Linked DNA regions of Nothobranchius furzeri. The protein of the gene in region 4 interacts with the protein of the main gene of each other region in a pairwise test. Links are inferred from orthologs where the notes say so. Each region holds a gene or a part of one and is shown on either strand. Other genes may lie near its edges.

Region 1 (4,126 bases), on a different chromosome or scaffold from region 4:
TCTTCTATTTTATCTAGCTCCACCTGCTGCATCATCAGAACCTGTTGCTCCTTTTTTAGACGGGAGGTCTGAGGGCATCAACACACCGTTAGGAAGAAAAGCTTTATTTAGACAAGCAGAGATGTTATTTTTGAAGCTGCAAAAACCTCTTCCTCCCTCATCTTCAGTTCTTCCATCTGTTGGCGAAGAGCCTCTGCTCTCCTACGCTCCTCTTCTTTCTGTCTCTCCTCCGCTTGCTTCATCCTCTCCTGCGCCTCTTTTCGAGTCCTCTCGTGCTCGTTCTCAAAGCGCCTCTTCTCCTCTCGTTCTGTCACTTCTTTCTGCATGTTTGATGAGACGGGTTGCTCACATCAAGTGTCAAACTTTCTTAACTATGCACGGCGTTGAGTTGGATTAACCTGAGATTTCAGATGTGATCCTGTGCTCACAGAATGCATAAGCACTTTGATTAAAAATAGATGTGCTACATAAATAATTGGTGATGTAAAAGGATAATGGCAGCTTTAATGGCTGGCTGGACGGATTAAACACTGACATAAACATCATTTGACATGTTTAATTGAACACTCGGGGTGATCATCCTACCTGTTTCTTCTCAGATACCTGCTCCTGCCACCGGCTGACAACATGATCTTTATGTAACGCCGACTCAGCCTGCAGACAGAGTTAAAGACTGAGTTGTGACAGAGGTGCTGATGAACCTGACCCCTAGAGGAAAGGAAACCAGAGCGTTTTACTCTCTAAAGCAAAGGCTAGACTCAGGTTAACTGAAAGTAATGGAACGTGTGCCTCACTAGAGCTATAAGTTTTCAGATCAAATGGACATCTGAACAAAAAGTCTCTGTTTTCCTGGATTATCAGGTCCTTCACACACACACTAGACGTTTACCTGATACCCAGAGTCATTAATCACATTGGTGCAGCCCAGATTTGGGGCTTTAATCACTTTTGCATGAATAGTTCAAACCCACTTACCTGTCGTAATTCTGCATTGTTTCTCTTCCAGTGCTCTCTCAGAAGCTCCTGTGCAATCTAGAAGACACAAAAACAGAGAAGTTACGAGAACAGAATCATACGTGGCAAAACACTGACCATCAATAACAAAAATATTTATGGGAACTACTTTTTTTCTCGTTTCCTCTCTTGCTGAATGAAGCTCTTCAGCTTTCTGCACCATTTGATTCATTCGTGTGGTTTTGTCAGGGACAAGCTGTCGAAGCTCTGCCTCCAGCTGGTCTCGTTCCTCCTGAAGCATGGTTCTGAGCTTCCCTCTGTGTCTCCACAGGAAGGCTTTTCTTTGCTCCTCCTCTTCCAAATGATGGTAGGCTGACATGCTAATAAAGAGTGGAGAAAAAAAATACTTCAATTGTCTTTTGTTGCCATCTTTGTCTGCTGATCCAAACCGTGAATATACAAGAAAAGACATTTCATTTTAGAATTTGGTCTGAAATTATTGACAACAGAGATGTCTCTTTTTTTCTAGAGGGGAAACAAAAGCAGATTTCCAAATATTAGGAAATTCATTACTAGATAGGGCAATATTAAAAACATGACTCAGTGGTTCTGCTATGAAGTCTGCTTCCAAAAAGGATCAAGTCTGTCAGGATTTGTTTGGATCTAAACTTTTCAGTATGCTATGGACCTCCGAGACAACAAATGGGATCAAACTGAATGACTGAGTGGTAGAAGGTGAGCTAACGAGGAAGGTGAAATGGTAAGCTGCTGTTTTCTAGGCTTTTGTAGGTGAGGATTTAGATTCAGAGAAAACCGGACTAAACAAAGTGCTCAGCTGATTTATTGGTTATTAAGTGAGAATCCTTTTTTATTTGATTTCCTTCTAAAATCACTCATGATGACTTGAGTTTTTAGACAGATAAAAATCAGATTAGACTTTATTTACAGTGGAGTTGAAACGATTCTGCAGTCGTCTGAATGACAGCCAGTCCCTTCCCGGTTTAGATTTCCAAGCTTTTGCCTAGGCAGCATCGCTTTCACTCATCAGAGTAAACTATGGGCTATCTCGACCTTCAACACGGATTTAACGGAATGGAGCATTATTATTTACAATCTCATTGAAGGCATCACAGAAGAATCCCCATGCCCTATCTCTTCTACATCACGATGAGGTAGATTTGGCCCCAGTCGTCTCTGCTGCAACAACACCCTCCCAAAGTAAGAAAAAGACGCGCGTGCCTTTGCTGGAAGCACCTCTGGCAGCTCCAGGCCGCCTGCTGCTGACAGCGGACTTCCTGCTCCTTTAGGTACCGAGAATGAAGCTCCCACTGGTGGCGCTGTTGAGCCTCCCTCTCACGACGCTGGACCTTCTGTTCTTCCAGCACCCGGCACCGATTCCTACTGGACAGATGGACCGAGCGTGTGGGAAAAGCCATCAGTCTGAATCACAAGCAACAAAATAAAAAAAAGCAACTCAACAGTTAAACACAGTTACACCTGGCATCACTTGAGATTAGTCTATGGAAAGCCTATATAATAATATAATAGTCTATATCAAGCACAAGACGCTGTTTCTAACGTTTGTGTTAACGTAGATGCTAACTCAGCTGACGAAAACAATGGCGGTTCCTAGATTCGTTTGTCTCCATAAACCACATTTAGCCTCTCAGCAGAGAAACCGTTCAAATAAATCAGCACGTATCATTTGGACACAAAAGCCTACCTTTAAGAATTTAAACCGTCTTCGCTTTTAATTCAAATTCAAACAACCGCTCTCAGGTATTTCCTTAGTTACCAAAGACGGTTTACTCCCCTCCAACGCTACGGAATCAAGCGAAGGCCAAAAGTGTTCATTTCAAGAAACGCGAAAAGATTTTTCTCATTTCGTTTCTTGTCACAACCTCAACTTACGCGCGCTGATAAAACAAACAAACAAATAAATAAATCGGATATAATTAGGTGATTTTTGTGAGTTTCAACACAAAAAATGGTGGGAAAATCTTCCCAGTTTAAATTGTTGTTAGAAATAAATTCAGTCACTTATATTCAGTCAGGTGGAAATTATCAATTATTATTATTATTATTATTATTATTATTATTATTATTATTATTATTATTATTATTATTATTATTATCAATTTCGTTAATATATAATTATTCTGACAGAGACAGACAGACAGACAGTTAGATGATGATGATGATAGATAGATAGATAGATAGATAGATAGATAGATAGATAGATAGATAGATAGATAGATAGATAGATAGATAGATAGATAGATAGATAGATAGATAGATAGATGATAGATAGATAGATAGATAGATAGATAGATAGATAGATAGATAGATAGATAGATAGATAGATAGATAGATAGATAGATAGATAGATAGATAGATAGATAGATAGATAGATAGATAGATAGATAGATAGATAGATAGATAGATAGATAGATAGATAGAGGAATAAATGTCCCATGTAGACTAATTGATCACATGAGCCTGCCGGCAGCTGGATGTCCTTCCATGACCTGGGTTGAAAGTAGGTAACTTGAGTGTGTGAGTTAGTGCGTGTGTGTTGATTCACCTAGTCTTGGTGACACACTGAATCTGCAGCACAGGCTTTGGCAGCCTTTTGCTTTTAGCGTGTGCAGACTACAGAGATGGCTCTGCTGATGGAGCACCAGTTCAGGCAGCTGCCGGCTGACAAACAGGTGGAAACAAGACCCTTTCTGGAGGCTGTGTCTTACCTTCCACCATTCTTAGGTAAGTAAAGCTTATCTTCTCAGTTTTGGACAGTGACCAATAACAAATGTGTGCTTGTGAAATTATGTGAACAAACCTTTTAGATGTCACACACTGCAGGATGCAGCATTTTCCTATATTTGTGGAGCTTGTTATGACAGATTTATCAAGTCAAAATTATTGTTGTAATAAGTAAATAATAAGCTGAATTTATGTCACCGACAAGTCACATCAAGCCCGTAGCTGCATGTTATGATACTTTTACGTGGACATTATAGTTCTAATTTTTCCACTGGTGCAAGTATTGACAAACATTGATTATTCAGCACAAACTGTCAAAGAAGCAAAATCTGTCCCAATCGTTCTTTAAAGGTCACTAAAACAATGTGTCTCAATTCAAATGATTATCTTCATTTGGATCATATTTCTC
Region 2 (3,980 bases), on a different chromosome or scaffold from region 4:
GAATGAGTAAAGTTTTTTTTTAATCAACATCGGAACTTTCAGTACACACCCTCCTCTCAATTAGTGAACAAGGGGGGTAATGACACTCGTAATAAGTGCAGGAGCACTCCTCTTCCTCCACTAGCTCCCCGTTAGCATTGTAGTAGCGCGTGCGGCTTAGCTCTAGGTACTGCTCCTCCACCGGGTCGGCTGGGACCTGCTGGATGGCCAGCCAGTACAGAGACTGCTCTCTAGGAGGAAAACAAAAACACAGAAGACATCAGTTATTGTCCACCATACTGCTAGAATCAGTATGGTTCTCAACATGTGAGTCATGGTAGTGACTCAACGTCAGCTACCGAAGTCCTCTCAGGAATGTTTAGTATTTTTGCCCCCATGCCTTTCAGCAGAATTCATAAGTGGTCTCACCTTTGCTTGCTGGAAATCTCCTCCGGCTTGGGGCTCCAGCCCACCGGCACCAGTCGAAGGTTGTCTAACCGGTTGTCGACGGTTACGGAGTTGATGTGAATCACTTGAAAACTAGGGGCAATGCCTCCCCTGTGCTTCTCCCTGGTTAAAAGCAAAGAAATCAAGAACTGGTTCATTCAGAGTTACTGAGGATTTATTTAAACATACAGCTAACCCTACCCTCCAGGGGAAATTTCTGGTTTTTGAAGTCTACAGATGCACTTAATGGATAACAAGGATGGTTTTAATATTTGCTGCAAAATAGCCTAAACACCAATGACCTTTAAGATTCTTGTAAAGGAAATATAGATGGTTGATTTGTCCTCATTAGGTATGGGAGATTCAAGCTAAAACTTTCCATTGTATAGGATCCATTTAAATGTTGATGTTTGCTTTTTTAGCATTTATGATGTATTTTTTCCTGGCGTACACAGAATCAGTTTCTCTTTTCAGAAGTTCTTATCAATCTGGTTCAGGTTCAAGGCTTTTCCTACTACAAGTCAAGGAATAAAGACTTAAATATAGAAGATAATGTTAACTATTCATTTTTGCTCACAGAGAACATCTTGTTTTTGTAGAAAACAAAAGACTTACCAGAGTAGCTCATGCAGAGGTCTTCCTGCCCAGCGGCCTTTTCCGATGTCAAAAGCATAAGCAAAGATCTTAGCACCATTGCCATCTGCATCTACCTCCATGCGTGCCTAAAAATAGAGGGAAAATGTAGCCGTTTTAAACTTCTTGGCTGTGGTTAGCGATAAAAATGGGAAACGGGGTACAAAACATTCTGATAGTTTACCTCAAAGGCATAGTTTTCCACAAGTGGTATGTCCTGCTCATCAATCAGAGTGTATTTTGTCTGAAATGGAGAAAAATTGAAGACATGATTTGAGTTTCACAATAAAATCTACAGCTGTGATCATAACATACTTTGAATGGATTTTAATGAAAAAACACTATCCAATATGCCGCCAGCAAATACCCAATTTTTAAGCTCGTCTATTAGTAAAACCACAAGTTGAAATTTTTAGAAAGGGCTTTTCAGAACTTCCACTCACTACCAGTTGATGGTTCAAGCTCATCCTCTATAAAAGATTTAAATCAAGTGATCTGTGCCAGTTCAAAATTTGCAACACACCTGATGTTTGCAAGATAAACAGAGGATGACACCACTCAGACGCATATGTATTTGACCTGCAATCCCTTTGTTGCAGGTCAAATCCTGAACTGACCAAGTGTGTAAAAGTTATAATACACTTACCCACAATAATGACTAGTTTTATCCTGTTTCAACCTACCAGAGGTTTAATAACGGCATGAAACAAGGCGTAATTATCTGTTTTAAAACTAAATATAAAAACGTTTCAACCAGAGGAAAACTGTCACTCAGCCGGATGAGATGCAAGACTGGTGACAGCAGTTTATCCTGCGTGTCTTGTGACAGCAGTGACAGCAGCAGCAGCCAGGGGTGTCAACACCAGCATCCTGCCCCGATTTAAAGTCACGTGTATCTGAGGCAATTACGTTATTTGAACGGAATAAATCACAATACTTTAGCCCCGAGGTGTGGAGCGCAGCATTGCTATGCCGGTGTTATGTTACCACGGGCTAGCGTTGATGAAGCAAGGCACCGATTCCCTCATTAGTTGTCAGCTCCTGTCTAATCCAGATGCCATGGCTAACGGCTAATCTGGTGATGCTAACCTATCCGCTACAAGATAAAATGTCAGTTCTCCTTGTCACACCACACCCCCAACCAGCCACGAGCCACGACAGTGTCAGCAGCAACAAAAGCACAAATAGTTTGTGTTCACGTTTCAGGTAGACGTTTTGTTACTGGAAGTAAACCAGCTAACGGACATGCTAGCTAGTGTTAGCTTGAAGGAAGACAGTGATAGCGGTGGAGTAGAGAAGAGCAGACTGGCTCTGGCTCGACGCGGCCGGCTTTTCTAATCCGCTCAAACGACTCTGAAACGGTACAACTAGCCCACTCCCGCGCCCTCAACGGCACCATTATCATTACGGCAGCTGACTGGCATCGATAAATTGCCGTTAACAGTGTATTTACTTGAGGTTTCCGCATTCCCCACGGGCCGCACATGGCAGCACTGGGATCCAGCTCACCTTCCCGGCCACACGGCCGAGCCGAACAATCCCGAGCTTGAAATCCGACATCAGGAGGACGGGTGGTGTTGACACAACGAGGCGTAGAATCCAACCTTGGCGGTTTTCGGGGTGTAGAACTCGCCAGGGCAGCCCGTCTGCCCCGATGCGATGCAACTTCTGGGTTCAGTGTAGTGACTGCCCTACCTCCAGGTCTCTCCGGCCGCAGCCCAGCCTCGGTGACACACGGCCGCTGGAGCACGAAAGCTGGGCGAGCTGTGGTGAGAGGCGGGGTTATCGAAGGAATGAGCCACTATTCCAACCAACCAATCGAAACACGTTTTAGTCTGCGATGCCCTGTCCTTGCGCCCAATAGAATTACACAAACGTTTAAGACTGCCTATTTTAACTTAGACGTCAATGCTCTCTCGTGATCACTTCCAATCATTTTCGCGCGAAATCTTTGGCGGCTCTGTGCCACTGAAGGGGAGGAATCTCCGTTTTCTAAAAGCTTTCATTTAAAATTAAACATGAACTTATAAAGAATAAACATTGTTATAAATGTTGTCATATAAAAGCAAAATGGGTTGTGTTTGGCTGATTATTTGTTTTTTTGTAACAATGCTTCTTGACTTTAAATACCTGGGGGTCCACATCAGTGAGGACCTCACCTGTGCATTGAACACCACACAGTCATTAAAGAAGGCTCCACACAGCTACTGTACTTCCTAGGGGGCTGAGGAAGTTTGTCACTCAGAATCCTCAGCATCTTCTACAGCTGCATCATTGAGTCAATTAGATCTGTTGCATCTCTGTGTGATAAGGTTTGGTACGGGAGCAGCATCACCACCACCAATAACCACTGAGTCAACAGGACAGTCACCTCCATCTTCAAAGACCCCATCCACTCCCTCTATGGACACTTATTTCACTTGCACATGAATAATGGTGCTGTAACTTTGGTAGAGTTAATAGTTTTGATTGATTTGTTGCTTCTTTTTTATCTTATTTGTTTAAAAACCTAAATTATACTGTGATAGAGTGGGACTATCTAGAGGAAGTGATGTCACAAACTGGACCACCAAAATAAGAGTGGGGTAACTTTACAAATGGATCTTGTAGAAGTGCCAAAACTATAACCCTTTCTGACATATACTTTTGGCATCCATTGCAAGCAGCGAAGAATTTCATTGTACATGGAAATACATGAATCTGTATAAATCATTTATCCTGATTAGTCACCTTTAAAGAGGTCCTTCACAGAGAAAGCATTTTTGACTTATTGTTTTTGAAAAACATAGGTCATTCTGAGTTTAACGTGTAGGCTAAACGTGAAAATTGTGTCCTACATCTATTTCCTTCCCAATGATATAAAATAGATGGTGAAGAGTATCGCCAGAAGCACAACCAAAATTGTTAAATTGTTCTGTTGT
Region 3 (2,940 bases), on a different chromosome or scaffold from region 4:
CACTTTCATGGCATGTTTCAAATCTTGACTAAGGGTGGAGTTACATTTTCTGATGGTGTGCAGTCCCTCTTTAAGGGAAGCTAAACTAAATACTTGACTTACACATTTATTTAATCCAGAAAACAAATAAAACTGTTTAAAAGCCGGTTTGGTATTTAGAATAAAGGTTGAAAGTTCTTCGTGAGGCTGGGACCATCTGTTCCTCTAGAGCAGTGGTTCCCAAACTTATTTAGCCGCGCACCCCCTTCTATGTCCCGACCATGTCGACGCACCCCCCCAGCCCCCACATCAGGGCATGGCTATATATATATATATATATATATATATATATATATATATATATATATATATATATATGTATGGTGACATATGACAGACTTCTCTGAGCTCTGCAGCCATTACACTTTTCACCTCGCGCACCCCCTAGCACCCCCGGGGGTGCGCGCACCACACTTTGGGAATCCCTACTCTAGAGGTTTAAGGGTCTTGTTTATGGAGGATGGAAGGATGGAGCTGCCCTGGGACACACTGGCATTACCAGTCCCTCTCACCACAACCAGTAGGTAAGGAGGATGAAGTGTCTTGTCACAACGACTGCGTCAGAATAACGGGGATGCAAATCTGCAACCCTCTGGTTTTGGGGATGAAAAATTAACTCCTCTGCCACCATCACCTGATTTAGAAGCAAACCCAGCCACTGTGGTACCACTGCTGACCACACCCCCTACAGGTCACAAATGTCATAGCGTCCTGGTCAATGCCTCCCTGCCTCACCCATGCAGGTAGAAACAGAGCACCCCTGGACACCTGTGTCACCCTACAGTCTGATCCTCCACACCGTTTGCAGTGGATCTTCTGCGTCGGCGTCCCCTCCACCCCTTGAGGAAGCTGTCTCTCACTCACACCTTGTGATGAAAACTCCTCTCTCAGCTGCCGGAGCTCTGGACTGGCCATGTCCTCCACAGACATCTTGGCAAAGTCCTGCGGCAGCAGAGAGCCACTCAGTAGGCCCTGGCACAGGTGAGGACTTTTGGGATTCCTCAGGTTTGCGACTTTGCTCCTCACACAGGTTTTGTATTTGAGTCTGCTGGTTTTGTGGAGGTCATGGATGTGCTTTTCAATGTCTTCAGCCAGCTGCTCCGCCTTGATCTGATCAGGAGGTTCAGGATGGAGGGCAGCTAAGAGAAGGTGAACGCATTTGGTCCTCACAGAGTCCGACAAAGCAGAAGTACCCTGGAGGGGACGGTCTGCCTGCTGTTCTGGAGCACGTACTCCACCATCTCCATCCACTTGGGCTGAAGAACCTGCAGGATCTTTTCTCTCATCTGAGTGTGTCCCTCCTGTCCTCTCACAGCTGTACTGTTTCCTCCACCTGGACAACAAGCTCTTAACCCCCTTCCTCACATTGGTGTCTGAGCAGGTCTTCAAGATTCCATAGAGGACTTTGACCAGTTCTGTTGTTTCCAGCTGCTCTGCTGTGATGTGAGACTTATCCAGGTCACCAAGGAGGGTCTGGATGTCCACGAAGCTTCGGTCTGCAGCCAGCTTCTCCATCTGGACAGCAAGGTGGACGATTTCCTTTGTGTCCATCATGGCTGCAGAGAATGTTATCTATTTTAGACCTTGGCAGGATGCATGTCTGTTATGTTTGATGTCCTAACGTAGATAGAGATGTCAGCAACACGCTTAAATACAGAATAAATGGGTTTAGACTGATTTACCTGAGCTTCTTCATGAGTTTCAGCTTCTTCCTGCTAACTGAGAACCTCAAACAAGGGAGCAGCCATATTGTTTTTGTCTTTCATCTATGAAACTAACTACATGCACCACTAGATGGAGCTGCTGACTCACTCACTCTGAAGGTTCAGCTGAAAGTCTTTCTGCATTTATGGGGAATAAAGTTTGTAATGTTTGATTTGTAAGTTCACCACAGTAGATGTGCTGCAGGATTATAGCTTTTGTAAAAGGATTCAGACGTGTGCATTTGGCTTCTAGGGGCGTTTATTCCCACAGCAAGCACAAACCCTTTCTTTAGACTACAATTCCTGAAGGTGTAAACACATATTTAATGATTAAAACACACTAATCCTTGGGATTGAGACCAACTTCATCATTTCTAGGTGAATGCAGCATGTTTGGACTCTGCATGCAGAAACAGGCCAAGCAGCCTCCAGACAAGAATCCAGGAGGGTATCTGGTAACAAGACGGGGCAGGCTCCTCAGCTCCGGAGCAATCATAGGTTATGAAGGCATGTTTGTGGTTTTAAAGTTAAGACCAGAGATTTTGTTGTACGTCAAACTGCAGAAGGGGCAGCTAGTTGTTATCCTCAGAGTGAGCCGCTTTAGAAAAGCTGCTGCATCGCCCAGAGAGACATGGGCTCACTGGATAAGAGAGCACAACTGATGTTGCTCCTACATTGGGATTGTGTAGCAAACTCTGCGTTTTTAACAGTGTCTCTATAAACAAAGTTGTGATTAATAATGTTTGTACTAACAGTAGATAGCTTTCTGAAAAGGCTCAGTTTGGTGAAATGTTTAACATTCCATAAAACTGGAATAACTTTGGGAATGTTACGATATTCCAATTGAACTTGACTCTTAGATTCGCCAGAAGTGCCACATTTTGCACGTGAAGTTTTCCAAGTGAGCATTAAACTGTATTCATGAAATGATGCTGCATGAACCACTTCCCTTGCACTAGCTGTTAGCAATTGTCAGTCCGGTAGAATGAAACTAATTTCTCTGATTTGAGGCCTTTCAGTAACCTGTCTTTAACTTCTTCTCAGAGACTGCCTTCAAACTGGCTGGAACACTAAACAACCGCCTCAATGAATGCTAGCTTCATGCTAACTGTTAATTAGCTGTAGCTAACTTGTCTTATGGGCCATTCCCATCTGTACCGGGTCGGCCCGGGCCGGGTAGCACCGGTCGGCCCCAGCC
Region 4 (4,180 bases):
TGCACAATTTCCTTGTAGACCGAATATCACTGACGCACACAACAATGGCTACTAAAAAGGGATAAAAACAGACAGAAGTTGCCTTGATTGGACTGATGCAGGATTTAGGAAACACGTCCTCCTCTTTTCTTTACTTAGAAAAAGTAAACTTCCAGACAGCAACGGAGTCCATGTCGCAGACATTTTTCAGAGATCGTCTCTGCTGCGGCTGCCCGGTGGCACCGGAAACTTTAAAAATGTTGCGGTAAGCTATATTTTTAACATTTACGTAATATCTGTACAGGGCTGAAAGCACCAGACAGAATAATTCTTTGCCCTAACAGTAGTTAATGAAAGTAGTCAAACAAATGAGAGGCACCTGGCTGCAGCTGGGAAAATGGTCCATGTCCTCACTACTCTGATTTTAGTTGATTTGGGTCTTGTTTCATATCACACAGTGACATTTGAATAATTAAAAGGCATTTTTTAAATTAAGAGCTTTAGTTTACAGTAATAACCATGTCTAATGTTTGATTCTCTGTCTCATAATTTTAATTACAAGTTTTGCTTTGAGGGCACATTTTTTTGAACGATTAAAATGTGATTAATTTAGATTAATTAATTACAAAGCCTCTAATTAATTAGATTAAATGTTTTAATCGAGTCCCGGCCCTAATATATATATATATATATATATATATATATATATATATATATATATATATATATATATATATATATATATATATATATATATATAATTAGTTATTACAGAAAGGGTTTATTAAAGTTAATGTATTATTTGGCTTAAAGAAGATGAATGTAAGGGTTTAGGTGAACATGAATGTGATTAAGCAAGGGTGCCCTCCCCCACCCACTTGACCAACCTTTGGGACCGCCACTGTTCACATTTATCATTGATTCATTTTTCCTGCCTTGCTGTTGATGATGATGCTGGTGCCACGAAATCGTTCAGAACATGATTCAAATCTGACATGTTTTCGGTTCTAACTATATAATATAATATATATCTGATTCAACAGTCGCGTTAACCTTTTTCTGACGTTTTTTCTTAGACTTTCTTTGTCTTGGAGAACAGAAACAGGTTCAAGCAAAAACCCGTGTTCACGTGTGGGCTCCTACATGCAAACCCACATTAGTTGATCGTTTTTAACCTAATGGTGACTTCAGGTCTGGGGGTCTTTGTGGTGGTGAAACTGGGAATCCCCCACAGCGTGTGCGTCAGGAGCCGTGAAGACGCACAGGGTTAATTTCAAGCCCCCACCACCGCCGCCCACATCCCCTATTTGAAAGCCGCCTCTCTACCGGGAGAGGAAGGCTCTTTTTCGGTCAGATGGCGTGCTGCAGCCCGCCCCCGTCATTCTCCAGCCCACACAGACAGCAAAAAGGCAGCCAGAGCCAGCAACCAATACGGTGCGCCGGAGGAGGATTTCTGCCAGTGATATCGGACCAAGCAGCGACGCGCTAAGGGGATTTACTACGGCGATCTGCGGCGTGGAGGCTGTCGGTGAAGAGGTAAGAGGAACGAATCGGATGTAGAGAAGGACGACGTGTCGCTGAGCAGGGAGTCCTCTCTGACATCTGGCTCAGGATTGGCTCAGTCTGACTGGAGCCAGTCACCCAAGCAGCTCACTGCTTCACATCAGAACCATAAGGGAAAATATTTGGCTTCTTTCACAGTTTTATTCCAGGGAATAAGACCAGACTGCTTTAAGTTTCAACTCATCTGAAAAAGGTAAGAAAGATTCAAGAGTACTTGGTGCACGTTTGTGTTTTGCATGAAAAATATCATGTTTTTAATCCTAGAATCATGCAAAAGTTTTTGTGCTTCAGCCTGATAGATGCATTTGAAAATGAGCTGTCTGGATATTTAACATCTCTGGACTTTTCCACTTTGCAGGTTCATGTGTTTCCTTTCTCCTGCCTGAACTTTTCCAGTGCCGTGTGCCATGTCTCTGCCACGCACACTTGGGGAGTTGCAACTCTACAGGGTGCTGCAGCGGGCCAACCTGCTGGCCTATTACGAAACCTTCATCCAGCAGGGCGGTGACGATGTGCAACAACTCTGTGAGGCTGCAGAGGAGGAGTTTCTGGAAATCATGGCACTAGTTGGCATGGCCACCAAGCCGCTGCACGTGCGTAGGCTGCAGAAGGCTCTCCGAGACTGGGCGGCGAACCCTGCCCTTTTCAGCCAGCCTGTCGCCAACGTTCCTCTCGGGGGGATCCCTCTGTTCAAAGTTGATGGGACGGGCACTAGTGGGTCAGCTGGCGGGCCCAGAAAGCCTGTGAGTAATGGGCAGCCTGGGTCGCCCTGTGAGAGGGAGGATCGGGCGTGCCTCACCCCAATGTACAGTGGGAGTCCAAGGAGCCCCTGCTCCCAGGCCTCTCCTCAACCGCCAGAAACACACTACAGGGAAAAACTGTCCCCCATGGACCCCCACTGGCTCAGCCCAGAGCCTGATGGTAATAGCAATGTAGCTTCTGCACCTGGAACAGAGGAGGAGGCGCCCAGCCCGCCACTACTGTCCACATGTCCTCCTGGTCCTTCAACATCTCCTGTCCCATCTGCATCATTCGCCCCTTCGGCTCTGTCAGCCTGGCCTGGAGGACAGCTGGACGGGGAGACGGCGAGGGCCGTGGTGGAGAGCGTGGAGCAGCTGTTTAGGACCCTGCCCCGGTCTGATCTCACAGAGGTGAAAACCCTGCTGAGGATGAACAAGAAGATGGCAAAAACTGTGGGGCACATCTTCAGAATGGGTTCCCAGGATGCAAACAAGGAAGAAGAGATCCGGAAATACAGTCTGATTTACGGGCGCTTTGACTCCAAACGGAGAGAAGGCAAGCAGCTCTCACACCACGAGGTAAAACCTAACAAGCACATCACCCGAGCTCACGGATCGCTAAAGTGACAACAAACCAGATTTTATCTTCACCTTGTGACCTTAAATGTTGATTTAAAGCCTCCATCACTCCTTCATTCGGTGTCTCCTCCTCCCCAGCTGATCATCAACGAAGCTGCAGCTCAGTTCTGCATGCGCGACAACGCTCTTCTCCTCAGACGGGTGGAGCTGTTTTCTCTGGCTCGACAGGTGGCCAGGAAATGTGCCTACACCTCCACACTGAAGAGCACAAGGTGAGTGAGGTAGGGGTGAGCGATGAGGATTTGACCCACACAAACACACCTGCTTCACACGAGTTTCAGATCGAAGCAAAGTGTTAGTTAGACGTTTTCAGTTGTTTTATTCAGATTTCTTCTGTTACAGCTCAGGTTTTATATAAAAAGTTAATCAGGTAAAAAAAGAGTACACCTCAATTCAATTCTAGAATTTTGGGGCAAGCATGGGGCAACGGTGGCACAGGAGTTAAGTGCTGGCTCCATAATTGGAAGGTTGCAGGTTCGAGCCCCGCTCTGTCGCTGTGTCTTTGGGCAAGACACTTAACCCACCGTGCCTGCTGGTGGTGTTCGGAGGGACCGGTGGCGCCTGTGTACGACAGACTCACCTCTGTCAGTGTGCCCCAGGGCAGCTGTGGCTACAATGTAGCTCATTACCACCAGAGTGTGAATGTGTGTGAATGGATACATGACTGTTTGTGTTGTAAAGTGCCTTGGGGGGTTCCAGGACCGTATAAAGCGCTTTATCAGATACAGGCCATTGACCTATTTATTTATTTTTAACCATATTTTGATTCCAAAAGTTGACGTTCTTTAGTTTAAAATCCCAGACATGGCCTAAGCACTATTGTTTGCTGTTCAGATTATTGGGATTATTATTATAATTTTTTGGTCAAATTATTAAAATCTAATCAGAAAAGTTAGAGAATAAAGTTATAAAAACACAAACATTATTTTGTTGCAATTAAATTTTGAATCAATAAATCTAGTTGAGGAGACACTGAATCATCAAACTTCAGTTTAATGAGCTAGAAACAGTATTTTTACATGTAAAATTCCAGGTAATTTTTTTTTTACCAGTAAGTGGCTATAACACTCCATCATACATCTCATTGTTTACATTAAAATTCAAAAATGGAACGGTAGTTCATACATTTTTGGGAATTTTGGCAGAATTCTTATTGCAATTAAAAGTTTTTATTTTTTTATTATCTTCTGCAGGCCGAATGCGGATGAGAACAGCAGTTTGTGTAATAAGAGACCAAGACATGAGGTAAGCATTTACAG

What was found. The genes of interacting proteins can lie anywhere in the genome.
Region 1: the proteins of nab2 (region 4) and tchp interact in binary tests that used the Homo sapiens proteins (3 or more experiments, as listed by UniProt). The two-hybrid records come from large-scale screens. The link is inferred for Nothobranchius furzeri from reciprocal best matches to the Homo sapiens genes NAB2 and TCHP.
Region 2: the proteins of nab2 (region 4) and zmynd19 interact in binary tests that used the Homo sapiens proteins (3 or more experiments, as listed by UniProt). The two-hybrid records come from large-scale screens. The link is inferred for Nothobranchius furzeri from reciprocal best matches to the Homo sapiens genes NAB2 and ZMYND19.
Region 3: the proteins of nab2 (region 4) and transcription elongation factor A N-terminal and central domain-containing protein interact in binary tests that used the Homo sapiens proteins (3 or more experiments, as listed by UniProt). The two-hybrid records come from large-scale screens. The link is inferred for Nothobranchius furzeri from reciprocal best matches to the Homo sapiens genes NAB2 and TCEANC.

Annotation. Positions count from the first base shown.
Region 1 is NC_091757.1:45,563,357-45,567,482, reverse strand, and holds the start of tchp (trichoplein keratin filament-binding protein), read right to left. Parts: upstream 2,801-4,126; 5' UTR 2,678-2,800; intron 2,621-2,677; exon of another isoform or gene 2,534-2,620; intron 2,395-2,533; 5' UTR 2,391-2,394; coding exon 2,194-2,390; intron 1,335-2,193; coding exon 1,124-1,334; intron 1,033-1,123; coding exon 976-1,032; intron 655-975; coding exon 586-654; intron 321-585; coding exon 147-320; intron 69-146; coding exon 1-68. Other genes in the region: gltpa (glycolipid transfer protein), read left to right, coding at 3,615-3,717. UniProt on the Homo sapiens protein: Tumor suppressor which has the ability to inhibit cell growth and be pro-apoptotic during cell stress. Inhibits cell growth in bladder and prostate cancer cells by a down-regulation of HSPB1 by inhibiting its phosphorylation.
Region 2 is NC_091746.1:54,510,030-54,514,009, forward strand, and holds the start of zmynd19 (zinc finger MYND domain-containing protein 19), read right to left. Parts: upstream 2,801-3,980; 5' UTR 2,620-2,800; coding exon 2,569-2,619; intron 1,304-2,568; coding exon 1,244-1,303; intron 1,149-1,243; coding exon 1,042-1,148; intron 550-1,041; coding exon 409-549; intron 231-408; coding exon 50-230; intron 1-49. UniProt on the Homo sapiens protein: May be involved as a regulatory molecule in GPR24/MCH-R1 signaling.
Region 3 is NC_091754.1:47,120,131-47,123,070, forward strand, and holds transcription elongation factor A N-terminal and central domain-containing protein, read right to left. Parts: upstream 1,810-2,940; 5' UTR 1,722-1,809; intron 1,657-1,721; 5' UTR 1,594-1,656; coding exon 679-1,593; 3' UTR 501-678; downstream 1-500.
Region 4 is NC_091743.1:50,555,446-50,559,625, reverse strand, and holds the start of nab2 (NGFI-A-binding protein 2), read left to right. Parts: upstream 1-1,380; 5' UTR 1,381-1,515; intron 1,516-1,680; 5' UTR 1,681-1,735; intron 1,736-1,900; 5' UTR 1,901-1,949; coding exon 1,950-2,861; intron 2,862-2,999; coding exon 3,000-3,133; intron 3,134-4,114; coding exon 4,115-4,166; intron 4,167-4,180. UniProt on the Homo sapiens protein: Acts as a transcriptional repressor for zinc finger transcription factors EGR1 and EGR2. Isoform 2 lacks repression ability.